Linked DNA regions of Arabidopsis thaliana. The protein of the gene in region 1 interacts with the protein of each later gene in a pairwise test. Each region holds a gene or a part of one and is shown in the gene's direction. Other genes may lie near its edges.

Region 1 (7,727 bases):
ACCATGACCAGTGAAACACTTGGTGGGTCTATGAATGATCCTAATTATCACATTGGCTTTGCGTCTTTTGTGTAATTTGATATGGTTATAGAGTTGCATGTCACATAGGTTTCATTGACTCGGAAGATGATATTTTCTGGATAGGTTTTGGTTCCTGGCCTCATTTACATTTTGATCAAAAATCTTGGTTTTCAAGGATATACTAGTTTGTAAAATTTCATAAGGCCAATTTTATTTTACAAGTGCCTTGGGACTATAGGTAGATAGATTCAGGTACATTAGCAAATGCAAAATGAGAATTGATTTATCAAACTTTTAGTGAAATACACATTTTAATTTATTAGTCTATTAAATATGTAAGTATGATGACTTCATGAAAAATTAAAGGAGTAGGGCAGAGATATATAATGTTCAAAGATATAACCCCACAAGTCAATTATTACTTAGAAGCATTTTGAGTTATACAATAGAAATATATTAAGTATATATATGATCTTCCCATATTTATTGAGTAAGTAAAAAGAAAAAAAATGATCTTCCCATATTTATATAAAATTATTTACATTTAATTTTAATTGAATATGCTTTTAATGTTACAAAATTATAACCACAGAAATAGAAAAAATTAATAATGATAAATAAATGTTGAGAAAAAAGAAAGATAGTAAGAATTAAATTTAGGAAAAAAAGAAGTTAAAAATCTGTGTGGACAAAAAGAAAAAATCTCCATATTTATTAGTGTAAAGGATAAAATAAAAGACAATTACGTGATCTCCTCCTTCCTATATATATAAATGATCTTCCCATATTTATAGAGTAAATCAAAGAAAAAAAAAGAAGAAGATTAAAAATCTTGATTCTATCGTCTCTCCATCTTGATTCTTTGAAAATTGGTTTAATCACAGTCGTGTGAGAGATGATGACGTTCAACGACCTTCCGGAGGATTTGGTAGTGGAGATACTCTCTAGAGTTCCGGCTGTATTTCTAGCACGATTACGATCAACATCCAAACGATGGAACACTTTGATCAAAGATGGGAAACTTTCTAAGAAGCACTCTTCTAATGCTCCAAGGCACTCTATGGCTCTCGTGTTGATTGATCATAAGGTTTATTCAGTGAGATCCAATCTCCGTGGAATTCACAATAGCGTTGCTCCATATGTTAACATAACATGTCATTTTAGCCTAAAAGAACATCTTTCTAATAATTATTCAACAGAAGTCGATATAGGCCACGTCTTTCACTGCGATGGCTTATTGCTATGCACCACCAAGGACTATAGACTGGTGGTTTGGAATCCGCTTTCAGGTGAAACAAGGTGGATTCAACCAAGATTTTGCTACAAGAAAGATGACTGCTATGCTCTCGGTAGATCCTCTTGCAACAAGTACAAAATCTTGAGGCAGGGTCGTCTTATCAATCCTAGCGAAGAACGTTACGTGTACAACATCGTGGGGGAGGATCTTGTTATCAACAATAGCCAAGAACGTTACGAGTACGAAATCTATGACTTTAACTCTAATTCGTGGAGGAGTATTGGTGTGATCACCGGCTTGTTCAATCCAAATATCACCAGTGGCGTGTCTGTAAATGGAATCACTTACTGGTTTGATATTAGTGAACAATTCTTACTAAGTTTTGATTTCTCAACAGAGAGATTTGGAAGTGAGTCTCTCCCAGAGGGTGATAGTCATTTGGCTTTATCAGTGACTAGACAAGGGAAACGACTTTGTATGTTATCTACTAATTACACATACGTAACCGGAACAAACGTTAACTTATGGATAGCAACGAAGACTAGTGAGAACACCAGAGCAATGTCATGGAGCAAGTTCCCAATACTGCGGGGCGGAGTTGGTCTACGCTATCGTTGTCATTTTAGGGAAGGGGTGAGTTTCTTCGCATACCAAGTTAAGGAGAAGATTGTTGTAGTTTCTTGTCATAGACCCAACCGGCACTCCAAGGACATCATACACATTGTGGAAAATGATAAATTCATAGAATTGGATCATCATGGTGCAAAACCTACACATGAATTATCTCCTACCCCACGTCTCCTCATATATGTTCCAAGTTTGGTTCAAATTCAACATGGTATTTAGTTCTTTGGAGGAGGCACCAAGTCAGCCAGTGCATGGCCTTGTAATTGTCACACTAGTCTATGCATTATCTAATCTAACTCTTGATATTTTATAAGTAAGATATATGTACGCATTTCTAAGTTATAACTTGTTGCTACCCTTTTGCTAGTGGATAATTCGAGGCACATGGCATTTTCATAATTGGTCAATTAGTTATTAAGTACCAAAATTTTGAAAAGGAAAAAAATTAGAAATGCTTAGAACATATTAGAGCAAAACATATGTAAATTTTGTGCAAGAATAAGGGAAAAGCAAATAAAATCAAAATAAAATTGTATATTGTGGAATTAAGAAATGAAAGAGGAACGCAATTTAGTTTTAAAATCTGACATATTAGATATAGTTGAGTCAATTGTTTTCCACCGAAGAATTGGTTGTGGTTCCATCTAACTTAAGATATTTTGTGTTAAGATGGTTTATTTGTAGAGATATATTATAATTATATATGATTTCTAACCAAAACAACAAGAAGTTTTTAAAGATGGGTACAAATTGAATTAACTAATGTAATTCCACATTGTCATTTGGTAAAAGAAAGATATCTTGACAAAAGAGATTAAAAGAATTATGTGAAAAACCTTGGCGACCTTAAACCATCTCCAATGTCTTTATATCTTTGGCATCATTAAGAGTAAATGTGTATCTTGATCAAACCTGAAACCACTAAAGAAAAACATATGAACTCAAATAGAGGCCAATTAAAGATGAGGTCCAAAGAATAGGGAGTGTCAAGCCTTTCACAAAGACGACGCCGTTTGGCTAAAAAAGGCCCAAGATCACAACGACGACGTTTGCTGAAGAAAAATGAAAAATCTTTCACTACAATCATTAGACCAAAAAAGAAAAAAAAAATCAAAGGAGCTTCCTTTTTTCGCTCTCGTCTCCGTTTACCCTTTTGGGATTTTTCCCTAAACCTTTTTCTCTCTTTGTATAATCAAATCCTCTTTATCTTTCATTGTTTCGCGTGAATTAGCTCTGCAAAGGCTCTTCATTCTTCTCGCTTGGATTCCTCTGCACAAAAGGTACCCATTTGATGTCAATTTTGGTTTATTGTTTTGATTGCCCTGTCCAAGTGACAAGTCTTTGTATGTATGATATAGGTAGTGGGTTCTAGTTTGTAGATGAACTTGTCGAATTTGGAGGGTTTTTAGTTGGAAGCATTTATATGTGGGATTTGGAATTGTTCTGTCTATTTGTTCTTAGCTTAAAGGTTGGGACTTAGCTTAGGACTTATGAGCATGAGAGAAGGAGACTTTTTTTCCAATTCGAATCTGATTGATGAAACTTTTTTTACTGGATTTGGGTAGATATTGTTACGTTTTAAGGTAGTTGACTGTTGTTAGTTGTTGTTTACTCGAGATTAGATTATTGTCATCTACTCTTGTTATAAAAGAAGCTCCTTTGTACTATATCAGTGCTGATAACTATTAATGAAGTTCCTTTCCCTTAGGTGGAGATAGTTTCTTTGTATTTGCAAACTCAATTTATGTGAGAATATATCCACCATTATTGAGTTTCTTCAACCTATACCGTCTCTGACAATCTCGCTTTTTCGTTATTAAGAACGTTCCAGTCTTAATTAATGTTATCTTCCTTTGGATGTAATTGGTAACAAATTGCAGAAAAAAGACCATGGATGATCTTCATGGAAGAAATGGTCGAATGCACATTGGTGTAGCGCAAAATCCAATGCATGTGCAGTATGAAGATCACGGTTTGCACCATATCGACAATGAAAACAGTATGATGGATGACCATGCTGATGGTGGGATGGATGAAGGAGTGGAGACAGACATTCCTTCTCACCCTGGAAACTCAGCTGATAATCGTGGTGAAGTTGTAGACCGTGGAATTGAAAATGGAGATCAATTGACATTGTCCTTCCAGGGACAAGTTTATGTTTTTGACCGTGTCTCGCCTGAGAAGGTAACTTTAAGTTAATTTTGGTTCTTTGATGTTTTAGTTTTGGATACATATGGTCAACGTATCCACCTGGTTGGTTTTGTTTTTCGCTTATTGAAGTGCTGCTCAATATTATGCAGGTTCAAGCTGTGCTTTTGTTACTTGGTGGAAGGGAAGTACCACATACACTCCCAACAACCCTAGGATCACCTCATCAGAACAATAGGGTACTGGTAATAAAAGATTTAATACCATATGGGAAATCAGTTTATTCCCCAGTTTGTTGCTGACTAATAAATGAACCAGGGTCTATCTGGTACTCCTCAACGGCTTAGCGTTCCGCAGCGGTTAGCTTCTTTGCTCAGGTTTAGGGAGAAACGAAAAGGGAGGAACTTTGATAAGACTATTCGCTATACAGTCAGGAAAGAAGTAGCCTTGAGGTACGTTTATGTCAAGTACTAGCTTTTGTGTATGTCGAGCTTTTGAGATACGTCTGTTTTGCAATTAAGGTTTTGTTTGTTCATGCAGAATGCAGCGTAAGAAAGGTCAGTTCACGTCGGCTAAATCAAGCAATGATGATTCTGGATCCACTGGATCGGATTGGGGGTCAAACCAGAGCTGGGCCGTAGAAGGGACTGAGACTCAGAAGCCAGAGGTTTTGTAAGTTGAAAATGCTTTAAATTTCTTACAACAGTTATATTAACTTTAGTGAACTCGTTATAAAACCTCAATTAAGTCTAATACATGGAAACAATTTATTTGGTAACCATTTAATGACGCTCTTTTCACTTCCATAAACTTTGTCTATATACGTCAACTCTGAAATTTATAGTTATACTTATCATGATGGCATCACTCATTCGATACCTGCAACTGATAACTTATACTTGTGAGAGGATAAAAATAACTGAACCGACTATGTTGTTGCATGTTAAGTCATTGTAGTTGATATGAACTTATTTATAGCTTGGTATACTTGGAAAGCTTGTCTCTGTTCTTATTCTTCGTCAAATGGTTGTGAACATGTTAAGATGTCGACACTGTGGAACAAGTGAGAAGTCAACTCCAATGATGCGACGTGGACCTGATGGGCCAAGAACACTTTGTAATGCGTGTGGACTGATGTGGGCAAACAAGGTAAGCTAAGAGTTTCTTAGTTCACATTGATCACCTCGTCTCGTATCACTTTTTTGACTCATTGATCAGGCCTATATATCCGAGTATGAACCTAACAATAACATTCCCTTTGACTTTATAATATCAGGGGACTCTTAGAGACCTATCCAAAGTCCCTCCTCCGCAAACACCTCAGCATCTATCTCTGAATAAGAATGAGGTGAGCCGTGAGCGCAGTATTTCATAGAGCTGGAGTTTTGATTTGCTTATTAAGAGAACATACATTCATTTTTTTTTTCTCAATCACTTTTGTTGCAGGACGCAAATCTTGAGGCTGATCAAATGATGGAAGTAACTGGTGACATTAGCAACACACAGTGAGAACTGAGAAACCATTGGAAGCAAGAAAGGATCTCAAACAAAAACAGTTGTTATCATTTCATTTGATGATGGAATCGAATCTGAGTTGTGTTTAGGGTTTCTCTGGGTTAATCTCAGTCTATGTGGGCACATTTTAGTCTTCTACAAATTATAAGACACTCTTCACTTATTTAGAAGCTCACTCATCAGAAAAGAAAAAAAAAACTTTGCTCAGTCTCTCATCTGTGTGTTTGATTATATTTTCAGGCAGAAAACTTTTTTTTGTTCTTGTATTTGATTACAATTAGTTAAATATTTAAGACTTAGTAGAGATAATGCAATCTATGTATAAAAATAGAAACAATGATTGGTTATGTCGTGCAACCCAAGTGACCTTAATGTCGTACACACGTTCATCAGGTTAAAACGAAATTTCTCAGCAACTTCACTATTCTCTCTGTCACATTGTTTTATTCTTTTCCATTATCTTTATTGGAAACTTGATTAGAAAGAACTGATTAAGGTATGAAGATAATTAGTGTACCATTCTTCACATGATACGAGGTGAACAATAGTATATCAGAATACTAGAATAATTTTATAAGTTATAAAGATGAATGGTATACCACTTATTACAAAACGAAAACATAGTTAGATCTGAGAAGAAGGAAAGATTTTTGTTTTAAAAAATGAGATGGTTAGATATATGCCATGTTAAGAGATGCCACCATGTTCTTCTTCTTCTTCTTACCCGGAAAAAACTCTTTCTTCTTCTCTTTCCCATAAAAAGAAACAAAAAAAAACTAACTTCCCACAAATTTTGCCAAACCAAACCAAAAATAGTAATGATCTCATTCAATTTGAACCCTCTCTCCATTTTCTTTCATAGTTTTTTTTTAGGGTAAATCAAAATATTAATGTTGGTTAGAAACTCAAAAATTAGTTTCTCTTTTTTTTCTCTGTGATTGACAGAGAGGTAAGAGAAAAAAAAGAGAGAAAGTGTTTCGGTTTTTGTTGCCTTCTCTCGAGTTAGGCCTTCTCTCTTCCGTCACACCATCATTTTTTTTCTCCATAACGACCAAATCATAAAACCGGTCGTTCCTATTTTTTCTTTCTCTGCGTTTTTTGTTTCGAATTCTTCAATAGAATTTTAAAAGAAAGAAGAAAGCTGGGTGAGACGAAGGAAGGAAGAATGAGCACTTCGTCGAGCAACGGATTGCTTCTGACGTCAATGTCAGGACGTCATGACGACATGGAAGCTGGTTCTGCTAAAACTGAAGAACATTCTGATCATGAAGAGCTTCAACATGATCCTGATGATCCTTTTGATATTGATAACACCAAGAACGCTTCTGTTGAATCTCTTCGTCGTTGGAGACAAGCCGCTCTTGTGTTGAACGCATCGCGTCGGTTTCGATACACTTTGGATCTTAATAAAGAAGAACATTATGATAATCGAAGGAGGATGATCAGAGCTCATGCTCAAGTCATTAGGGTATGTATTTTCTTTATATAATTCTTCCTATCATTTCAACAACAATGTTGTTTGTTTAATTGAATCTCACATCGATAAATCACTTTTATGAATCAGGCAGCATTGCTTTTTAAACTGGCTGGTGAACAACAAATTGGTATGATCTCTTATAAGTCAAGCAAATCTCTGTTTTGTTTTCTGGTTTCTTGTTGAATAATCTTTAGTTTCTTTTGGTATCAATTAGCGTTTGGATCATCAACACCAGCAGCTTCTACTGGTAACTTTGACATTGATCTTGAAAAGCTTGTGTCTATGACAAGGAACCAGAACATGTCCAATTTGCAGCAATATGGAGGGGTATGATTCAAGACTCACACATTCCATAAATAGGAAGGTTTCTTGATGCTGACATTAATATATCTTTCAGGTCAAAGGTGTTGCAGAGAAGTTGAAGTCAAATATGGAACAAGGAATCAATGAGGATGAGAAAGAGGTGATAGATAGGAAGAATGCTTTTGGATCTAACACTTACCCAAAAAAGAAGGGGAAAAACTTTTTTGTAAGCAAAGAGTCTTTTACAACTTCTTCGACCGTGTTTTTATCGGTTTGTGGATACTCATATGTTTTTTTTCAACTTTCTGTTTGTCCAAAAGATGTTCCTCTGGGAAGCTTGGCAAGATTTAACTCTCATCATCTTGATCATAGCGGCTGTAACATCATTGGCATTGGGAA
Region 2 (7,069 bases), on another chromosome or scaffold:
TTTAATAATTAGTTTTTAACATATTCACATAAAAATTGTTGCATTAAATAATAAATGTACATCAATTACAAAATTGTGTATTAATTCGTTTTTTTTTTAATTTAATATTAAATTATATTTAAAGAAAAACTAACATTTTTACAACTAGTAGTGCATCAAATGTTTGATTAACTTTGAAGCTAAAATTTTAAAGAATTTCGAGAACTATAAAATACTCAACTTCGCATCATTGTTGAGAAGATGAAAATTTTCTTGACAAGGATACGCAGATAAAAGTATTATTGCATAGACGCAGTTTCACAAATGTCTATGAATCTTCTTTTCATAATAGAAGTGGAGAACCAACAATGGTGATAGCCTATAAAAAGGCACCTGGTGATGTGTTACAAACAACCATATACTAGGCTTGTCAAGCCAGTGGAGCAGACTGCAATAAGATTAAAGCCTAACCAACCTTAGCTTGTTTCAAGGCCAGCAGGCCAACACTATCAAGGACCATGCCTTCGTTGTCTTCAATAATTATTACCAGCGTTATAAGCACAATGGAGGTTCTAGTTACTTTAATGGCGCATCACCGATTTTTTAAAAACATTTATCTATTTATGACTAAGAGGTTCCGAGCTAAGCACATACATTCTCACAAGCTGGGAACCAAAACATTTTATTTGGTCTGCACATTCATCCTCTTAGGCGGGAACCAAACCATTTTAATTTATATGGTTCTCTCCCGAGTGCCACTCAAAAATGATCATGGATTGCGACCCTAGTATGCAATTCTGGCTAAATCCTTTGGTTTTAGGAGGCTTAAAGTTCTGCTTCCAATATTGTTGTGTTTCAAAGTTGGTGGTGCAATAAATTTCACCTACATATCTTGTTTTACTCATTTGTTATTTTTGGTGCACATGCAATAAAGATTAGATGTTTCACTTTTCTCTTCTTCTCCAGCTAATGAAACAGATATTATATTCAAATGTAGAACTTCAATAAGATATATGGTATTAAAATTACATCAATTTGGTAATTGACATTATCCATTCTGAAACAAAATAAGCTATATATGATAAGCTTGACCACATTCCATATAACATAACTCATATATATTTGAATCAAATTCATAGTCAACAAAATTTGGCAGTTGATATGACTTACACCTAAATATAAGATCTTACATAATTCATTCTTTATTTTGTTGGTCAGAGTATAATCCATTCTAAACACAGAATACTAACACTATAAAATACTCGAGTTATAACCATCTTTAAGCTCTCAAACAGTTCAACTTGCCTCTTGTAAAAGATGAAAACTTTTTGTTTAGGGATAGCAATTGCTCTACTTTTCATAACAGTAACGTTTTCAGGTACAATATTATTGTAACATACACATAATCTCAAAGATCTCTATAACATGGGGTATCTTATTTTTGTAGCGAAAGCGGAGTTCGGACAATGGTGTGTAGCCGATGGACAGATACCAGATAATGTGATACAAGCAGCCGTAGACTGGGCTTGTCAAACAGGTGGAGCAGACTGCAGTACGATTCAGCCTAACCAGCCTTGCTTCTTGCCCAACACTGTCAAGGACCATGCCTCTGTTGTCTTCAATAACTATTACCAGCGTTATAAGCGCAACGGCGGTTCCTGTAACTTCAACAGCACTGCATTTATCACACAAACCGACCCTAGTAAGCAACTTTATCTAAACCCTTTTTGTTACAGTTATTTAAGCTCTTTGATCAATCAAAATCTTGAACCATCTGTTTCTGATTATCTCATGATTTGATAGGTCACGATTCGTGCCATTTTGAGTATGTGCCATTTTGAGTATGTCCAATGATTCAAAGGAAAGACCAAGATGAAATGAAAGATGATGAATTATACTACCGGTGAACAATATAAACAAATCTTTGTTGGAACTTGGAAGTTCTTGTAATGTAGAATTTTGATAAATTGTATGGTAATAAGATTACATTAATATGGTCGTCATTTACATAATCCCTTTAGCAACAAACTGAACAAGTAAAGGAAGATGCTTAATGGTTGTCGACACAGAATTGTTATTAAGCAATCTCTTAGGTAAACAAAAAAAAACAGTGAGTTCATATGTAGGATAAGCTTGACCACAAACTTGACAATATAGATGGTTATGAGATTGTTTAGAAAAGTAAAGTTGCCCATGCAGCAATGAACGCAAAGCCTCCGAATGGTGCCAATGTCGAAAACTTTCTGTCCTCCCGCAGCGCTACCATATAACACCTGCAACAACATTTCAACACACATGAAACTTCTCACATACTCATACCCGGAAATAGACTATTGAACACAAAACTAAAGTTATCTACTAAGCATCTAAAATATAGTTACTTCTCCAAAGAGCATACCTTCACATATCAAAGGAAGTACAAAGGGGACAAATACCATTCATTAACTCAAATACAAAGACCTATGCTATTAAATAAGTGATACAATGGTTTCCAAATGCTTCAGAGTTGGACACATGTCGAAATCGATAAAATCTCCCTAGCCACGAAGAATTGTGGCAAGTATTGCTACTGCTAGAGATTAGATATGAATTCTAGAAAGTCCAAATCATATCTAAATAGCTCAAATATCCATGAATGCACTACTATAACCTCAATGACAAGACATCCAACAAACATCTAGCACAAAAGCTCTACCATACACATCTCAAACTGAAGAATCTGAGAAACAAAAAGATAACAACTTACGTGCCGGAAAAGGCTACAATTCCAGCAGTCAACAAGCCACCAAACTAAGCAAGAAAAAGATATGTCAGCTCCATCAACTCTCAAAGGACAAAGATTAGAGAAACAGAGTACAAGAAGAGAAAGCTAACAATGTTGGGATATTTGGTGCTAGGAGCAGAAACAAGAGCAGCAGTGTGAACCAAATGGTAAAGTGAAGCCGTTTGCCACACCTGAACAACAACAAAAAAACCTAAACTTTCTCACAGAAATCCAACAAAGTATCGAATTTTCCAACAATTTTCAAGAATCTAAACCTGTTTGTAAGAAGGGTTCTCTGGTTTAAAGACATGAGCACCATAAGTTCCCAAACCAAGAGCAGCCATACCTAAACCAATTCTATCCGAATCAGTACCTTTCCTCACAAGATCAAAATCAAAAGATCATTACTTTATCTTAAATCTCACCGGAAATAGCGGCGACTTTGTGCCACATCCGAGGATCCATCGATCGTCGTCCTCTGATGTCTCTTAGATTGCTTCTTACACTATTTCCCATTTGACCAGAGACTTTAAGCGAGATGTGTCAAGTCGGTGATCGGGTCTTATTCGGTTTAAGCCTAAAACGACGTCGTATGTGATGTGTTATTTTCTTCACTACAGCAACTAAAAAGATTCTTCCTTTTGCTTCAGCTGCGAGCTTTGGTTGGATCTCTCACTTGCAAAACCAAATCCCTTATCGACTTCCACCGAAAGATCACTTCTTAACCTACACAAGGTTTGTTTTTCTCATAAAAATCAAACCTTTATTCTCTTTTCTTGATGATTTTGATGCTCTGCTTCTTCTTATCCACAAAACATGAAAACATTTCTTCTTTGATAAGTTTGATGTTGGTTTGTTGTAAATGATTGCTCTTTCTAGCAAGCTTTACTCTAAAGTGTGAAGAGAAATTGTCAAATTAGTTTGTTTAGGATTGGAACTCTTGTATGCCTTGTTTATTGATGAAGTAGTTCATGGCTGACGTAGATTCATAGAGTCATGAGTTGATTTCAATGATACTAGAGTTCTTGTTAGAGTTTTGATCTCCATGGATATTATTGTTCAATATTGATATCTAATTCAGTCTCTGATTAATGACTTTGTCTATGAATTCTACAGGTGTTTGTTATGAAGATCAGATAAATAAAAGGTCATTTGAGGATAATGGTTGATGTTCAAAGATTCTTACTTGCTTATTTGTGATGGACAATGTAAGAGGTTCAATAATGTTGCAGCCACTGCCAGAGATAGCTGAGAGTATCGATGATGCTATCTGCCATGAACTCTCCATGTGGCCTGATGATGCTAAAGATTTGTTATTGATAGTGGAGGCAATATCAAGGGGAGACTTGAAGTTGGTACTTGTTGCTTGTGCAAAAGCTGTTTCTGAGAATAATCTTCTAATGGCACGATGGTGTATGGGTGAGTTGCGCGGTATGGTTTCGATTTCTGGTGAGCCAATCCAGAGATTGGGAGCTTATATGTTAGAAGGGCTTGTTGCTAGGCTTGCTGCTTCTGGTAGTTCGATATATAAGTCTCTCCAGTCCAGAGAACCAGAGAGTTATGAATTTTTATCTTATGTGTATGTTCTGCATGAGGTTTGTCCATATTTCAAGTTTGGATACATGTCAGCGAATGGTGCGATTGCAGAAGCAATGAAGGATGAAGAGAGGATTCACATTATTGACTTCCAAATTGGACAAGGGAGCCAGTGGATAGCACTTATCCAGGCTTTTGCAGCTAGGCCTGGTGGGGCTCCAAATATTCGAATTACCGGAGTTGGTGATGGATCTGTCTTGGTTACAGTCAAGAAGAGACTAGAGAAACTTGCAAAGAAGTTTGATGTTCCATTCAGGTTCAATGCGGTTTCAAGGCCAAGTTGTGAAGTTGAAGTGGAAAATCTTGATGTCCGAGATGGCGAAGCCCTTGGAGTGAACTTTGCTTACATGCTGCATCATTTGCCAGATGAGAGTGTAAGCATGGAAAACCACAGGGACCGGTTGCTGAGGATGGTGAAGAGTCTATCACCTAAAGTAGTCACTCTTGTGGAACAAGAATGCAACACGAACACTTCCCCTTTCCTTCCTAGGTTCCTTGAGACATTAAGTTATTACACGGCAATGTTCGAATCTATCGATGTTATGCTTCCGAGAAATCACAAGGAAAGGATCAATATCGAGCAGCACTGCATGGCAAGGGATGTCGTCAACATCATAGCTTGTGAAGGAGCCGAGAGGATCGAAAGACACGAGCTTCTCGGGAAATGGAAGTCAAGGTTTTCCATGGCGGGTTTTGAGCCATACCCCTTGAGCTCAATCATTTCAGCCACCATTAGAGCCCTCTTGAGAGATTACAGCAACGGGTATGCGATTGAAGAAAGAGATGGTGCTCTGTACCTTGGTTGGATGGACCGAATCTTGGTCTCATCTTGTGCATGGAAGTGAAAGAATAAACGTCTCCAAGAATGTAATGCAAAAGACAGAACTGGAAGTAATAGATAGTTTTGTCTCATAACCATTAATAAGGTTGAATCAAATCATATACATCCCCATGCTACAACTATTACACAGGCTCCATCAACAAAGAAGGGCTCTTGTTGTGTTACCTTCTCTTCCTGTAACTCTTATTTGAACCAAATGGAAGTGGTTACATAAAGGTATTAAAGCATACTATTCCATTAAACACTAATCTAAATCTGGTCCCGCCTGAACAACAACTGTACAGTCTATAACCATATCGCCTGTACTAATCTATGTTAAAACAGCCATATAAATTACCACTCGGTACAACACTGAATGCTTAGCTTTGGGCAGGCTCTGTCTTGGGTTTTTGTTCCTCGCTCTCCAGGGTTCCTACTGCCTTCTCTTGACAAACAGTGGTTTTATCATCTGACTTTGCTTCCGGCTTGGCGTGATTGGCTGCGTGATCTTTGTTTGCATCTGATCTCTCTTTTATTTCCTCCTTCAGCTTCTCATCCAAAACTGGACCTTGATCAAGACTTTTCTCAAAGCCATTAGTCTTCGTTTTCTTTCTTAAGTGATCTTCGACATGCTGGTCTTTTGTAATGGATTGAAGAGTTGAGCTCTGTGGAGTCTTGTTGGCATCTCCTTCTTTATCATCAACTTCCGAGTCCAGCATGTTATTATGAGTAACAACTCTTCCTGGAGGCATATCGTGGTCGTGTTTTCCCTCGTAAGTTGTTATAAGCAACTTTGTGTCATGAGATGACCTCTCTACGTGTTTCTTGACGGGGCATCCAGGGCTTGAACATCTATAGTAGCTCCTAATACATAAAACATCAAATGGAGAAAGAACGTGAGCAGCGAAGAATGAAACCAAAAGTTTGACATTATATTTCAAACATGTAAGCAGTCACTACCTTGGATATGGGCTGCCTTTTACTGATTTCTGACCATATTTACGCCATCGGTACCCATCATTCACAATATCAAACAGAGTCTGAGTGTGAACCACAATGCGTGAATCATTGGTTGACCTCTCCACTGGACTCAGCTCAATGTTCCCTCCTTTCTTCCTGATTTAGTGACATCAACATAAGAAGAAAAAACAAGGAACACCAATGGTGAAGTCTTCCTCCAGAACCATGAAAAACAAACCGACATATCAATCATCAATACCTTCGCTTTGCGGTAGGACTATTATAATCCTTGTGAGTGTTGTCCCCCGTTATCCTACTTGATTGTGAAATATCAGTTTTCACATCATCAGCTGGTGGAATAACTGAAACATGTAATCCTCCATGGATCTTTGGTGGTTCGGTTTGACGAAGTGTCTGAACACTGGATCCAGATGTTTTCTCTACAAACATGATATCATAAGAAACAATGCACAGCTTATAAATTAGAGAAACTATATCTATTCTTTGTTCACCTTTACTAACAGCTGTGAAGACATCACTTCGCTTATCCTGATTGATAGGAACAGCACCAGCAAGAGGCTTTGGGTGATCATGTTCCCCAAAGTAAACGGTATCCACGACTTGTCCACCCGCAGACCGTTCCAACTGTTTTTTCGCTTTGCAGTTAGGGTGAGTGCACCTGTAATAGCTCCTTACAAACTCATTTCCTTTCACAAGTTTCTGTCCATATTTCCGCCAGTTGTATCCGTCTTCCATAACCTTCTCACGAATAAAAGGACTATTCCCTTCCGAACCAGACTGCAAAGATAATGCACCGCTACTTTCAGAAACCTTCGGTGCTTTCTCGGATACCGGGGAAGCAACATCTACTTCCGACTGCGAAGCTACCGTATGTGGAACAAGTTTTTCAAGCTCCTTACAGTCAGTAGATTCCAAACTTTCAACAACGG
Region 3 (6,019 bases), on another chromosome or scaffold:
TGTTGCTAATTCTCCAGCTTAATAAAGAGAGGTTAATTTTGTTTGGTTTATGTGTGTGAACATTTCTTGTCTGAGTAAAGATGGCTAATACTCCATTGATAGTTTCCTTTGGTGAAATGCTTATCGACTTTGTCCCTGACACTTCTGGTGTTTCTTTAGCTGAGTCCACCGGTTTTCTCAAAGCCCCTGGTGGTGCTCCTGCTAATGTTGCTTGTGCCATCACCAAACTCGGTGGCAAATCAGCTTTCATCGGCAAGGTTTGTATAATTTATGTTAGAATCTATTAACTGATGGTGAAAAGTGATATGTGATTGTGTAATGTCTTTTATAGTTTGGTGATGATGAGTTTGGACACATGTTGGTTAACATATTGAAGAAGAACGGTGTGAACAGTGAAGGTGTTTGCTTTGATACCAATGCAAGAACCGCGTTGGCCTTTGTGACTTTGAAGAAAGATGGTGAGAGAGAGTTTATGTTTTACAGGAACCCTAGTGCGGACATGCTCTTGAAAGAATCTGAACTCAACAAGGATCTTATCAAGAAAGCTAAGATTTTCCACTATGGTTCCATTAGCTTGATCTCTGAGCCATGTAGAACAGCTCACATGGCTGCGATGAAAACCGCTAAAGATGCGGGAGTCTTACTCTCTTATGACCCGAACGTTCGGTTGCCTCTTTGGCCTTCTACTGAAGCTGCTATAGAAGGCATCAAAAGTATTTGGAATGAGGCTGATATTATCAAGGTATGTTTGTTTTTGTTGTAACAACCGGACTCGTGTTTTCGATGATCTTAGTGTTCGAGTTTCGTGATGTGTAGGTAAGCGATGATGAGGTAACGTTTCTAACGCGTGGAGATGCGGAGAAGGATGATGTTGTTTTGTCTCTTATGCATGATAAGCTTAAGCTGCTTATTGTTACTGATGGAGAGAAAGGTTGCAGATACTACACAAAGGTAAGGGATCAAATTCGACATGATTGTGTGTGTTTTGGAGTTATCTAAACAAAGTTTTTCGACTGTCGAAAAGCGCAGAAATTCAAAGGGAGAGTGCCTGGATACGCTGTGAAAGCAGTTGACACAACTGGAGCTGGTGATTCATTTGTTGGTGCATTTCTTGTCTCATTGGGAAAAGATGGCTCCATACTCGATGTACGTATAACCAAAGACGTTTTCAGTTCATAGATAAGGCATATGAAATTGAGTTTTGGTGATTGAGTAATGTGAATGTTGCAGGATGAAGGGAAGCTGAAGGAAGCACTTGCCTTTGCAAATGCATGTGGAGCAGTGTGTACTACTCAGAAAGGAGCTATTCCTGCACTTCCCACTCCAGCTGATGCTCAAAAGCTCATGAAATCTAAGTCTAAATAGTTTCAATCTTGTTCTGTTCTGTTTCTGTTTCTTCACTCTTGTCAATTTCCTTGGTTTTCACAGAGTATTTTCTCTGTTATCTGAATAAATCTAGTTTCAAGTTTCTGCCAAAATTGATTCCAAACTAATTCATATACCTTGATTTTTAATTACATGACTAATGTTCTATAACAAATAATCAAGAGGCTCTATAATATAAAGAAATGAACATTTTATTGCATATAGAGAAGGTTACAGAGATTTTGGTAGATAGGTTACAAAACATGACACTCCATTTAGCTTACACAATATGAAACTCAAAACTCTTGGATTTATAATAACTCTCTTCAGACTCAGAAAGTAATATATAGTTTCTTCAATATCAGAGTTCTTTGGATTCAGAAGAGCTGATTTTTGCAGTTTGGTCTTCTTCAGCTGCAATGTTAACAACTCTTGGACCCTTAACTTTTTCAGGAGATAGTTTCGTGAGGTTAATAGTGAGCACACCATTCTCAAGCTTGGCCTTGACTGATTCCATATCTACATTATCAGGTAGCTTGAACTGTCTCCAGAATTTTCCATATGATCTCTCCACTCTATGCCATTGATCTCCTTTCTTCTCTTCTTCTCTTTTCCTCTCTCCACTGACTCGTAAAACTCCGTTCTCCTCCACTTCTATCTTTACTTCATCCTTCTTCAAACCGGGGATATCGAGCATTATCTCATGCCCTTCTGCTGTTTCTTTCCAGTCTACTCTTGCTGGAGACAGAGCCACGCTTGTGTCCCTCTCGAGTCCTAATGGGATTCTCTCCAAGATCTTGAATGGATCAGGGAACCGGTCTAGCCAGAGATCGGATAGCAAGCTGCCTGGAGTAGTTTCAAGTGCAGAAGACAAAGACCCTTCACTTGTTTTGATGTTTCCAAGCAACAAAGCTCCTATGAAGAAGATGCTTAGCAAGTGCTTCATCATGGTTAGTGATTTGGATTTATTGTAGAAGGTTGAAACCAAAATTTTAGGCTTTTAACTTCACTTTCTTATTTTGTTTTCTATGATGGTTAGTCTCAATTCTCTGGTGTATATATAATACACATTGTATGAAGAATGAAGAAGTTTCTTGAAATATCTTTCTTTTGGTAGAGTTTTGCAGAGAGAGATATTGAGATTGTTCTAGCTTTTTTGGCTGTGACTTGTACTAATTATGTTACTACACGTTGGATAAGTTTGTTGTGCCTTTAAGGGTCTTCTCTCATGTTCCAGAGACTTCATGTAAAAACTATGGATTGGATTGGGCCTTAATAGTTATTTATATCCAGGCCTATTTTTATTGGCCCATTATGATATTTGGGACCAATTCTGTTTGTGATGAGTCTTAGAATTTTGGCTGCTGCATGGGAAAGGAATGGGAGAGAGTTTGAATGATGCCATGCTCCATTTCAGTTTCTGACAACATTTTAGAGTTTTTGACCTCTATTGCCCTATGGCTAGTTACTTTTAATTCCACAGTCTTTATGCATATTGTGGTCCTGCCTTTACTTTTGGCTTGCCATGCTTGTGTCTTAAGAGAAGCTTGTCGCTATGTTTGTCAATTTATGTTTTCAAAAGAAAGTAAAACTATACAAGCTTCTGAAAAAGATCTTGTCATGGAGATTTTGGTAGGAGAACATTTATTGGTTTAAATGCCACCCAAAGTTGGTCTAATAACCCCATATTGAGATAAAAATTTCGTCTTCGACATATCGTTGTATATCTATATATAGTTCTCTCTTTTCATGAATAAAGATCATCAATTCCTCTTGGTATCAGAGCCAGGTTTTGATATAACTTATGATCCCACCACACATGTGAACTTATTTAAGCTTGTTCTTTCTTGTTTCCTATATTTAGATTCACTCCTTGTCCTAATTCTCATAAATGTCAAAGAACATTTGTTCTGTCTGTGTATTGGCAATTTACATTGATTTGGATTATAAAGTTGAAGGATGAAGATACAATGTGAAGTGTGTGAAAAGGCTGAAGCAGAAGTACTTTGTTGTTCAGATGAAGCTGTACTATGCAAGCCATGTGACATTAAGGTTCATGAAGCTAATAAACTTTTCCAAAGACATCACCGAGTCGCCTTACAAAAAGATGCAGCCTCAGCCACCACAGCTTCTGGAGCTCCTCTATGTGATATCTGCCAGGTTCCAATCTCTTTTCTCTTTAAACACTCGCTGAGCTCTTTAACCGATGTCTCATATATATGTATATGCAGGAGAGAAAAGGGTACTTCTTCTGCTTAGAGGATAGAGCAATGCTGTGCAATGATTGTGATGAAGCCATTCACACTTGCAATTCTCACCAAAGATTCTTACTTTCTGGAGTACAAGTTTCTGATCAGTCTTTGACTGAAAACTCCGAATGCAGCACTAGTTTTAGCTCTGAAACTTACCAGATTCAGTCAAAAGTGTCTCTGAATAGTCAGTACTCTAGTGAGGAAACTGAAGCTGGAAACTCAGGTGAGATAGTACACAAGAATCCTTCTGTAATCTTAAGTCCTTAGAGATATACACACAACATCATGGTTCCGGAGCCATTGATGTTTAATAATAAAAGTTTCTGTAATATATTATCTTACACAGAAGAAAAACTTGTTGAGGAATCAAATCTTTTTGTTACAACAAATATTAAAACCATGACTTAACAACTAAAGTCAGTGGTCATGGCATCGACACAACCAAAGCTAAGTTGTTCCAATAGTTTCAAGAATTGTAGAAATGTGAATACTATTTGAATCGATCTTAGATATATAAACAAAATTTAAAAAATGAATAAATAATTATTGATTAAATATAATTATTTATCTCAAATATCAAGACTTGGATAGAAAATGCATAACTTAATGAGACAGTCATAGATTACTACTATTAGCTCTTGTACTTTCTTTTTGCCTCACTACAAGAACTATAGACCTTGTTGGATTTGAACCAACGTTGGAACATAACTGATTAAGAAGTGACCATTGAGATTCTTCCTCATCATGATCCAATTGTATACATTTATCTTCTCCCACAACGTGTAAAAAAACGTTGGAGACCCCATGCTTACCACGACACACCAAAACTTTGTTCTCCTGGTCGACCAAAAATTTATCCCACTAGCAAACCAAAAAGGCTTGTAGAAACTTTCTCCATGACGCGGCTCCGGTACCGTCAATCTTAGTTGCAATCCCTACATGATACATCTATATCGCCTACTCGCATGCCACGAGTAGCTAACATACAACATTTTTGATCTTCTCTAGTCACTGATAAAGTGATAGGATGATGATAAAAAGGATGATCACCCGGGAGAGACACACTTGTAAATCTCTCTATTGAAAAATCCAAACAAAGTAAGAATTCCCCACTTTCTATGTCTTGCGTGCAAGCAAGCCAGTAAGTATTTCCATTTACAGACATGACATGCTCTTTTAACCGTGGTCCGTGGTATGAACCAGTCGCTATCTTCACCAACAAATCTCCACGAATTAGGGGTAAAGTCATATATTTCATACCTAAACAAGACTATTGATTACTGAACAAGTTCTCTATAGTGTACAATAAACCTGGAAAAAAAGTTTGATTCATAATGGGATGTTAGACTCTTGTAGTCTTGTTAATATTCCAAACCTAGTGGTATAAGATTTTTAATCAGAAAGAACATCAAATTCTTGAAAAATGATCTTTACAATGCTAGTCAAGGAAAACTAAATAGATGACTGCTCCCTGATTCTTGATCAAACAAAACTTTCACTTTCAATCATTGACAGTACGTAACTTAATATTTTCTGGCATGAGTTCATTTATATCTAAGGCCAAGTCCAACGCCACGGGAAAACGTTAAAATAACGTGGGCATGTTTACTTTTTCACTCCAATCAGACGGTATAATTTGCACTATAATAGTGTGATTCTCTTTTTTTGTACAGTGTAACACTATATTTGATGCACTACTGTAGCCACGGCAAATATTAAAATAATAATTTTTTCTTTTGTGTTAACATTATTATATATTAAAATAGCTTATTTAGTTATAATAGATTATATATGATTTGTAATGAGATTTAAGTAATCTAACTAAGGGTTGTAACTAAAAAATAATTTATAAGTACTATTTTTGTAATCTTTAATTTAATAAAATGATGGATTAGTAGAAAATATTAAAACTAATACCGAAGTTGATTGAAAATACAATAAAATAAATTATACATTTATAACATAATTAAAAAATTAAAACCACACAAACATAAAAACTAAATGCAACAAGATATGTTTTAAAAACATAACAAAAGCTTCACAAATGGTTAAGGAAAATTATTTCCGGTTCCGCTAAGATAATTATAATATTGGGTAAAATCTTCTTGGTTATTTGGTGATCTTTTGTCTTCACCTTGATCCGGTTCTCCTTGAACTTGTTTTCCATGAAATAGACTTTCTTGATAATGAGATGCTCGATATTGAGATCCATGATATTGGGAGCCTTCACCATCTTCTTCATGTTGGTTTGTTTGTGCTCTTTTTTCCAAAATTCTTTTTCTCTCATTTTCAACATATGCACGAGAGGATGGATCACTTATAGAATTCAAATCTGCAAATAATATTTTATTCTCTTCTTTCATTCTAGCTACCTCGATCTTCTGCCTTTGAATTTCATTTCT
Region 4 (8,507 bases), on another chromosome or scaffold:
AAAGCGAGTACATTTAACGACAGAAGAAACAGCCAGTGATTCGCGACAGGAGATTTGGGTCTAGATCTAAAAGTCATTACTTTATTCGATGTCTCTTCTTAGTTGTTTCTCCAACGGATTTGTTATGGTTTCTTGCGACGGTTGTCTTTTATATGGTGATGAAGTGTCTGTTGGTTGGTGGAGGCGATCGAGTTGTTGGTGGCGACTGAGAGAGCGTTATGACTTATTCATCATCTTGTTCTATATATGTATAACTTATGTGTTGGTATAAACAACCATATGGATTGCACATCTTGGACACACATCAATGGACAATGTTGCATTTGTTTACCATTAATGTGTCATCGCTGGATATGGATCCATTATATAATTATGATAATGTCCATACTCTATACACAAGTGAATATTGGTCAAAGAAAAATGGACGGTGTATTTCTGTTGAGATTGAGTTCTTGATTAAATATGTAAGATAAAATGCTTCAATGAGAACATGAATAAGAAGAAGAAGCTCAAGCAAAAGAAGAATATGCATGGGAGAAGATGAAATAATAAGTGATTGGGCTAATTGTTTTGTTAGGCCTAAATGAGTAAGTGTGTTATGTTAGTTAAAGTTTAGCTTAGTGAAGAGTTGTTAGAGTTGTTGTTGTGTAGGAGTTGTTGGTAAACCTTGCTTGTAAGCTTGGGTATACCTTAGAGACTAGAGTAATGATGTCTTAAAGTAAGGTCTAGGTCTAAGTAGAAGCATAATGCAAGTGTGTACTTAGTAGAAGTAAACTAGTATGAATATGTGTGTGTATGTCTTATAATAAGAATCTATCTTTGAATCCAATACAAAAATGTTGACAACTAATGTTTTCACTTTTCTCTCTCTTACTAATCGTTTTATGTCTTCGTGTCAAAACAAGAAACTAACCAAAGACTGAGAGAATGAGAGTGAAGGTTCTTTTTGTGCTTGAGTTAAAATGAGTGAGTGAAACAAAGCATTAAAGAGAACTAAGAGATGTAAGAGAAGTGAACCTCTAAAAGTTAAATAGAGGAAGAACCCAAAAGTTCAACAAATTTTTTATCAACGATTATTGTTCATGTATAAATTTGTGCATTGATATAAAACAAACTGTGAGTTACTAGGTGACCATTTGGACTTGATTGTTTGGACACTCGTCAGTGAACAATTATATCTTTAAAAAGAATATCTAAATGATTTAGAATGACTAAATGTTCTTTAAGAATCAGATGGATGAAACTTTGTGGACAACAATCGTACCAAAAGCACCACATATAGCTTTTCCAATTCTTAACATGTAAGACCAAAAGATTCACAACTCTCATCATAACAATCTGCACAATCCACGATGCGTCATCCATAATGTGCCATCCATATAAACATTCCATTATCGTCATCCACATTGTTAGAACTAAGATACAAACATTCCATAAACAAGCAAAATCTAAAATCTAAAAAGCCAACAATCATATGATCAGTTTAACGTCATCAAATTCAAGAGAGTGGCCAAGTGCTATGCAATGATAAGAGTATCCATATACATGTGAACAAATTGTCAAAACAAATTGGTGATTGCAGCTAATGTAAAAAGTCATATGGATATAGAGGTGTGGATAGGTGTGTGATCTAAACACATCATTTCTAGATCCGGAAGATGTATCTGTTGGGAAACGATAGCTCCAATAAAACCAAATATCACATCTTCCCTAGCATTTTTGAGATAGAAAGAGATTAACACAAAGTTATTGTTAGCCAAAGTTTTTGAAGACCAACTACGTATCTATAGGCTGGAAATAGAGCAAAAATTAAACAAGGAATTCAAGGTGTTCCCAGAGAAGGGTATTAGAATTTTAACTGGAAAACTAGATGCATTTTAACAAATCAAATTTCAATGTCAATTCACAACATTCATATCACTGGATCCTAACTTGGGATTGAGTCAACTACTTAATTTAAAATTCTTCAAGTAATTTGTCAAATCGATCCTAACTTGGGATTGAATCCTATCTTACTATTTATCAATTTAACATTCAATCTTAAGAAACAGATAAAGCCAAGTAAAAATCCAATACGAGAGAGGATAAAATTTGGTTAAAGATGCTCTTACCTCTCCCAAACAATGATTCAGTTTTTCTTCTTCCCCAATTCAAACATCCTTAGTGATCTGAGTTGAGACCAATATTTTCTGTCTTAATCTTCGGCGAATTGGATTTCTAATGTTAATAATCCTTCGATAAGAAACGATGGTGGTGGCCATAAGTTTTCCAGCGAATGGAGAAAAATATACAAAAGTAAAAAAAAAAAAAAAAAATTAGGGTAAACATAGATTTTGATTGTGAATTTAGGATAACCTCATAATTTTCATGATTTTGTAAAAATTATAGAGAACGACAATGATTTTGAAAGAGAGATTGAAAATGATGAAAAACAAAAGAATATGGAAGAGAGAGATGATAAAAGGGGGATAGTTTCTTACCCACACGATCTCATCAAAAATAAGTTTAATAATTATTGTGTCATCATTACTTCAGGGGTAAATTAGTCCAATTTCTCCTCAAAAAGATGGCAAAGTGCCTAATCCCTGAAAAGTGCCTCAAAAGGAATAAAATTCTTTAAAAGTGTCTAAACGTGTCACATTCCCTTATCATTTTAGTCCTTTAATTTTTATATATTCAAAATATTTCAACACTTTGACTCGTAATCTACAGATTAAAAATAAAGAGACTTATCTATCTCTTCGTAATGCATTGATTGATCACATATGAGAGCATTACGAAAATAATTTTATTGAGTAATTTGTAATTTATAAGTTAATTTATGTATTTTTAATTTTTATTTATATGTATTTTATTTATAAATGTATTGTTTTGTTAATTAAGATTATGTGTAATATTTTAATGTATGTTTTAGTGTTATTATTAAAGTTATATAGTTTTAAAATAATTATGAACAATATAAAGACTATAATGCAAAACACATATTTTAGAAACTTCATATTTAAAGTATACTCTTGGAGAAGAAACTACTCATACTTTATATTTGAAGTTTACATACTCTATATATAAAATATCTTTTGGATATGCTCTAAATTATATTGGATTATCTTTTAGAGAACCTAAAACTTTATATTTGAGGGATAGAGTATCTCTTGGAGATGCTCGTGGTAGTTCAATATTGTACCTTAACTGTAACGTAAATGTTGTTATCTTTACTTAGACGTCTTTGATATGTAAAAATTCTATCTCTGTATCCTGTTTGTACTGGCCTCTCCAAGGTTCACCATTATTGGATGATGCACTGGGTTGATATATATAACATAACTTTTTGGCAAAAAAAAGAAACAAGAAAAAAAAAACAGTCTCTTTGGCGATAGCGATTTGGTCGGAGATTTCTCCGATTACATTGATTGGGACTTTAGTGAATCTTCACAGAAGCAACTTCACGGAGAACGGCGAGAAGAATGTGGAATTGAGAGCGTCGTTAGAGGATCGAGAAGCGTCGGCCGTTTCACTGGAGAGATCTAGTGTTGTTCGTTGATGAAGGGGTTCTAATTTCGATACCTAACGGAATTGATCATTGATAAGGTCTCATTCCGGTGGCAATCGTCGTCGCCGGAAACAATGTGCACAGATACGACCTTGAGGTTAGTTTATTCCTTTAAAATCTAATCACAACAAAATATATCATTTGTATTCATGGGATTATGTTCATTGTAATGGATTTGAGGATTTGGTAGATAAAAGTAGTAAAAATTGTGGATTGAAGAATTTTCTTGTGAGAGATGGTTGATGTAAGGGAAGGATCATATTCTGGAACATTTGTTAGCTTTGGTTACTTCTCACCATTGTGATGAAATTTGCTATATCCAGGGGATGATTCAAGTGAGAGAAAGATAAAGTTTTTTTGCCTTCAGTCTGATTCTGCATTGAATACTTCCAGTGGGCTGCAGGTTAGTGCTTAGTGTTCTTTTGATATCCTTGCATTGTCATTCCGTTGATGGCTATTCTATTGCCTCCAATGTATACTCATTCCACTTATTGGCTCCAATGTATACTCATTCCACTTATTGCCTCCAATGTATACTCACTCCACTTATTGGCTATGGGCTGCAGGTTGGTGCTTAGTGTTCTGTTGATACTCATTCCACATATTACCACTCTCTAATTTTGTGACGTCAGGATAATACTTAAAAACGTTGTAGCAAAGCGGGAGATGGCGAAGAAGAGAGAGAGTCCCAAGCTCATCAAAATCAAAGACGCCATTAAACTCATCAACCAACAAGTCAGTCTCATTGGTATCGTCCTTGAACAAAGAGAACCAAAACAATGTCGCAACAATGGTACTTATCCAAAAAAAACCAAAATTTGAGTTAAATACATAGAATTTTGCTTGAATCTGAATCTTAGTTGGTTTGTTTTGTGAAAGCCCTAACATTTGACCCAACAAAATCTGAAAGTTGGATTTTTTTCTTAGATTGGATTTGTACGCTACGGATAATTGATGATACGTATCCAAGTCCTGGACTTACTGTTAATGTATTTAGTAAGACTCTTGAACAACTTCCTCAAATCAAGAACCACGACGACATGATTCTGTTTACTCGCATTAAGGTACAAAGACCTCTTCATTTTCCTTCTGTGTTTTGTGCAGGAGGTTATAAAGTTTGGATTTTTATTGTGTAGATGCAAACTTTTGATAGTGGAGAAAGAGTAAATGCTGCTTGTAGTAGATGGGTTTCTTCCTTTGCCTTGTTCGAAGGTGTGGATTTTGTTTGTTACCAATGTAGTACCAATTTTCATGAAGAAGAAGCATTATACAAGAGTGCCATGGATGATTTACGCAAAGTTTTTGCGGGTTGTAGCCAAGTTATTAAAGGTAACACTGTGAGCTTCTTTTGCTTTCAACTATGCATATAGTATAATGGCTTTGGATAGCTTGGAACGATTCTCATAAGCTTTCATTTACTGTTTTGGTACTTAGCTATGCAGAGTATATCTTACAGAACAAAACCTTGCTCCGAAGTTTTTTCCTTCTTGAGAGAGATCAAGATAGGAAAACGCTTTGATTTGGTGTGCAGGGTAATATGCTCTATACTCTCTATTAACTGTGAGAAAGCTTTTTAACTCTTCATTCCTCTATACCACTTCATTGTTACTTCAAATCTTTTTTTGGCTCCTTTTATGTTTTGTTGACTGATCCTACCTTGTTTCCTGCTGTTTCTTGTGATGGAGATTCTCCATGCCGATGAAGATACTAGCGCTGTTTTTGTTTGGGACGGGACTGATGCACCCCCAGCATCTATTCTGGCTAAGTGAGTATTAACTGCGAAGGAAAAAAGTTTTAAATCCTCACATTATCTGTTTTGAGTCATTCATTTAGGCTTGACTCTACGCTTTCCATATCCTACGCTTACTCTTCTTCTATTTGGTGTACAATGTTTGGCTATCGACAGGAGAAGTGAAGAAGACAAGGCATTTAGCAGTCTCTCTGTTCATACTTTACTGTCAAGAGATGTACTGCTCAGCTTTCCAACCGTTGGAACGATCTTGAGAGTTCATCTAAGCAGTCATCTATTTTATCGGGTTAAACCTGGTGATTGGGTGAAACTTTACCATTTACTCTGTGAAGTTGATAGAGGATCTTGGGTAATCAAAGTTACCAGCTCTACAAAGGTTCATCATCTCGCTCAAGATGATCGTTTAGTTGAAAAGATCATGAGGTTTGTACTTCTTGATATTTCTTTCAGTAACTACTTCCGACCTTTTTGCATACCATGAGAATCTCTTACCATTTTGTTTTATAATCTAATGTGCCAAAAACTAGGATATATGATAAGAGACTATCATCAAAGTTGGGACACATTTCATTCTGGTGTTTTCCGTCACCTCCTGGATTAACAGGTTGCAATACTTCTCTTTTACTTAATGAGCAGGATCTAATCTCAACGAATGTTTTTCTCTGTGTCAATCTTTAGACAGACTTCCTTAACATTCTTGGTGTCTTGCAGAGACAGATGACAATTGTGCCCCATTTGTTACACTGATGGACATCATAACATTCCCCAAGGTACCATTCATGAATCTATTTGCTGTATTCCCTGAAAAGATTAAGAATACTTTTATGTGATCGCCTACGTTGTTATTACAGGTTACATGCAAGTACAGATGTATTGTTCGGGTTGTAGCTGCATATCCTTGGCAAGTAGAGGATTTCTGTTCAGATGAGAATCGCCGTCACCACCAAGTTTTGTTGACACTGGAGGATTCAACAGCGACTTTAGAGGCTTTCTTATGCAATAAAGACGCAGTAAATACACCATTTGGTCTATTTGCATCTAAACTGTCAACAAAGATCGTCTCTGATAGCCTAATCTAGATTTTATTGGCAGGAGTACTTTTGGGGTTTAGGGTTTCAGGACACAGAGACGCTGAGGAAGAAGCGGAATTGGTTGCTCGGTATACGGGAAAGCTCGAACTTTGTGGCTCCAAGAAATCCACCATGGATCGAGTGCTGCATCCTCTCCTACTATACTAACAAAGCTGACCCGTGGAATACTAGATTATACAGAATCTTTGGTACTAGACTACTTCATTAAGTATTTGTAAGTGTTAAAAGAGGATTAAATAGTTTAGTATTAGGCTCATGTTAAGAATGTTGGATTTGGCTTACTTAAGTATGGTAGTTGTGTTGTTTTAGTTCATGAAGACCTTGTAACCAAAAGAACATCTTCATGATATTAACCAAATCCAAAGACTGAACACAAAAATATCTTCCTCTAGACCTAAAGAGTTAATAGAAGCAGCAGGCAATATACACATTTTCATTGTGGAACAACTCTACCTTGTTCAAAGTTTTAAAATGGTTTCGACCTGTGGAATGTTTCACTAACAGTCCTTCATAAAACTCCACAATCTTCGCTGATACAACAACTCTCCCATGAATCAACTCGGATCTGATAAGCAAAAAGTATTGGTACTATCAAATGTTTGAACTCCAATTTTGGTTCCACATAACTTAAAAACCATTAATACGAAAGAGTCTCACATTGAGTTTAAGACATAATCAGAAGAAACAATAAACAACCACACAAGTCTTTCTTGTCCCTAACTGAGAAAAAAGAGAGCCAATCGTAGCTGATGATTAGCTGAGGCCATCTTAGTATCTTCTGGGTGCCCTGCCGCCGAAAGCAGCGATTGGTGCCATAGCTTGTTGTGGCTCGACTGCAGAGATGCCGGATGTGTCAGACATTCCTAGAGAAGCAAGCATCTCAAGAGTCTCTTTGTCGACCTTGATCTCATCAGTCTTGATAGCAGACTCATCGGGAACAAAGTCCATACGGCGTTCACGCTCTTCTTCTTGAAGCTTGAGTGAGATTCCACGGACTGGTCCCTTCTGGATACGTTTCATCAAGTGGGTGGAGAATCCAGCAATCTTGTTGCGGAGTCTCTTTGATGGGATGATGGCAACCTCTTCAAGGATCTTCTTGTTAGTGTGAAAGTCAAGAGTCATGCGAGAGTAGTACTTCTCAATGACTTGACGTGAAGATTTCTTCACCGTCTTGGTTCTAACACGCCCCATCTTTCAGTGACTTACCTGATGAGAGGAGAAATTCCATGTCTTATTAAGGATTCAAAATCAAGAAACAACCAAGTATAGATGATTTATGTCTTAAACTTCAACATTCAGGTTGAACACTAAACAAACACAGGAACCACATGTAAATGCAATGTCAAATATTGTCAAGAGAATTGAAAATGAGTCAAGTAATATACATCAACATAACGCTCAACTTGAAAGAGGTCTAGTGTTCTTATCAAACAATATAAGCCAAATTTTATACATACATTTATATTCAGCCTAAAAGAATATCAACTCACGACACACTTTTGCTGAATGAAACACAAAATAAGAGAAATTCAGAAAACAACAGAACCTCTTCACACGTTGGTATAATATACAATGCCTAATATTAAGACCAAAAACTCAACTGCATTAGAATCTTAATTAATCAGATACAAAAGCTACATTATCAATTTTGACACATGAACATCAAAATCAAGCAACCTATAACAATTCACACAGATACAACAAGAATAGCAAACTATCAAGTCAAAAGTCATGTAAACGTGTTCACTATTATCCACTAGTCTTCTCAAATTGATTTCATCTTAGTTAGTAGATGAAACCCAAATTCAACATTACAGTAATCAACACAAACAAGTGAGAGTGGGCAATATAAATCTAATGTTGTCAAACCCATTACTCAAAATCTACAGACCTAAAGAACTTACAATCGAAATCTAATGTTGTCTGAGATCAGATTTATGAATACTCACCGGAGACAGAGATGGAGACGGAGACGGAGACGGAGACGAAGAGAGGCAGAGAGCGATTTCGATTTGGAGATGCGAGAGAGGCGGAGAGAAGTAGAGAAAATAGGGTTGGTGAAACATTAACCTTATATAGGGCTTCTAATACTCGGTTTAGGTTAACCCGATCGGAC

The links.
Region 2: the proteins of ZML1 (region 1) and SCL21 interact in binary tests that used the Arabidopsis thaliana proteins (3 or more experiments, as listed by UniProt).
Region 3: the proteins of ZML1 (region 1) and bbx23 interact in binary tests that used the Arabidopsis thaliana proteins (3 or more experiments, as listed by UniProt).
Region 4: the proteins of ZML1 (region 1) and AtPOT1a interact in a two-hybrid assay, tested with the Arabidopsis thaliana proteins (one study listed by BioGRID).

The regions. Positions count from the first base shown.
Region 1 is NC_003074.8:7,419,057-7,426,783, forward strand, and holds ZML1 (ZIM-like 1), read left to right. Parts: upstream 1-2,979; 5' UTR 2,980-3,165; intron 3,166-3,765; 5' UTR 3,766-3,775; coding exon 3,776-4,069; intron 4,070-4,185; coding exon 4,186-4,278; intron 4,279-4,351; coding exon 4,352-4,485; intron 4,486-4,573; coding exon 4,574-4,705; coding exon of another isoform or gene 4,706-4,709; exon of another isoform or gene 4,710-5,076; coding exon 5,077-5,182; intron 5,183-5,309; coding exon 5,310-5,381; intron 5,382-5,479; coding exon 5,480-5,542; 3' UTR 5,543-5,849; downstream 5,850-7,727. Other genes in the region: AT3G21170 (F-box/associated interaction domain protein), read left to right, coding at 917-2,104; ACA9 (autoinhibited Ca(2+)-ATPase 9), read left to right, coding at 6,714-7,016, 7,113-7,152, 7,240-7,352, 7,423-7,554, 7,649-7,727. UniProt on the Arabidopsis thaliana protein: Transcriptional activator that specifically binds 5'-GATA-3' or 5'-GAT-3' motifs within gene promoters.
Region 2 is NC_003071.7:1,718,690-1,725,758, reverse strand, and holds SCL21 (SCARECROW-like 21), read left to right. Parts: upstream 1-3,154; 5' UTR 3,155-3,168; coding exon of another isoform or gene 3,169-3,259; 5' UTR 3,260-3,478; intron 3,479-3,859; 5' UTR 3,860-3,942; coding exon 3,943-5,184; 3' UTR 5,185-5,398; downstream 5,399-7,069. Other genes in the region: AT2G04910 (Carbohydrate-binding X8 domain superfamily protein), read left to right, coding at 1,405-1,779; AT2G04900 (uncharacterized protein), read right to left, coding at 2,153-2,252, 2,726-2,769, 2,854-2,934, 3,019-3,089, 3,169-3,259; ZAP1 (zinc-dependent activator protein-1), read right to left, coding at 5,540-6,023, 6,120-6,275, 6,379-7,069. UniProt on the Arabidopsis thaliana protein: Probable transcription factor involved in plant development.
Region 3 is NC_003075.7:6,366,832-6,372,850, reverse strand, and holds bbx23 (B-box zinc finger family protein), read left to right. Parts: upstream 1-2,900; 5' UTR 2,901-3,324; coding exon 3,325-3,525; intron 3,526-3,596; coding exon 3,597-3,884; 3' UTR 3,885-4,022; downstream 4,023-6,019. Other genes in the region: AT4G10260 (pfkB-like carbohydrate kinase family protein), read left to right, coding at 81-257, 332-742, 817-951, 1,030-1,146, 1,231-1,365; ATHSP22.0 (HSP20-like chaperones superfamily protein), read right to left, coding at 1,727-2,314; AT4G10230 (no-apical-meristem-associated carboxy-terminal domain protein), read right to left, coding at 5,666-6,019. UniProt on the Arabidopsis thaliana protein: Probable transcription factor that may be involved in seedling photomorphogenesis.
Region 4 is NC_003071.7:1,887,598-1,896,104, forward strand, and holds AtPOT1a (Nucleic acid-binding, OB-fold-like protein), read left to right. Parts: upstream 1-3,086; 5' UTR 3,087-3,647; intron 3,648-3,873; 5' UTR 3,874-3,953; intron 3,954-4,116; 5' UTR 4,117-4,216; coding exon 4,217-4,343; intron 4,344-4,477; coding exon 4,478-4,614; intron 4,615-4,686; coding exon 4,687-4,879; intron 4,880-4,984; coding exon 4,985-5,082; intron 5,083-5,235; coding exon 5,236-5,315; intron 5,316-5,456; coding exon 5,457-5,723; intron 5,724-5,827; coding exon 5,828-5,904; intron 5,905-6,011; coding exon 6,012-6,070; intron 6,071-6,151; coding exon 6,152-6,310; intron 6,311-6,392; coding exon 6,393-6,599; 3' UTR 6,600-6,917; downstream 6,918-8,507. Other genes in the region: AT2G05220 (Ribosomal S17 family protein), read right to left, coding at 7,160-7,582. UniProt on the Arabidopsis thaliana protein: Component of the telomerase ribonucleoprotein (RNP) complex that is essential for the positive regulation of telomere length. Binds RNA non-specifically. Binds specifically single-stranded telomeric DNA.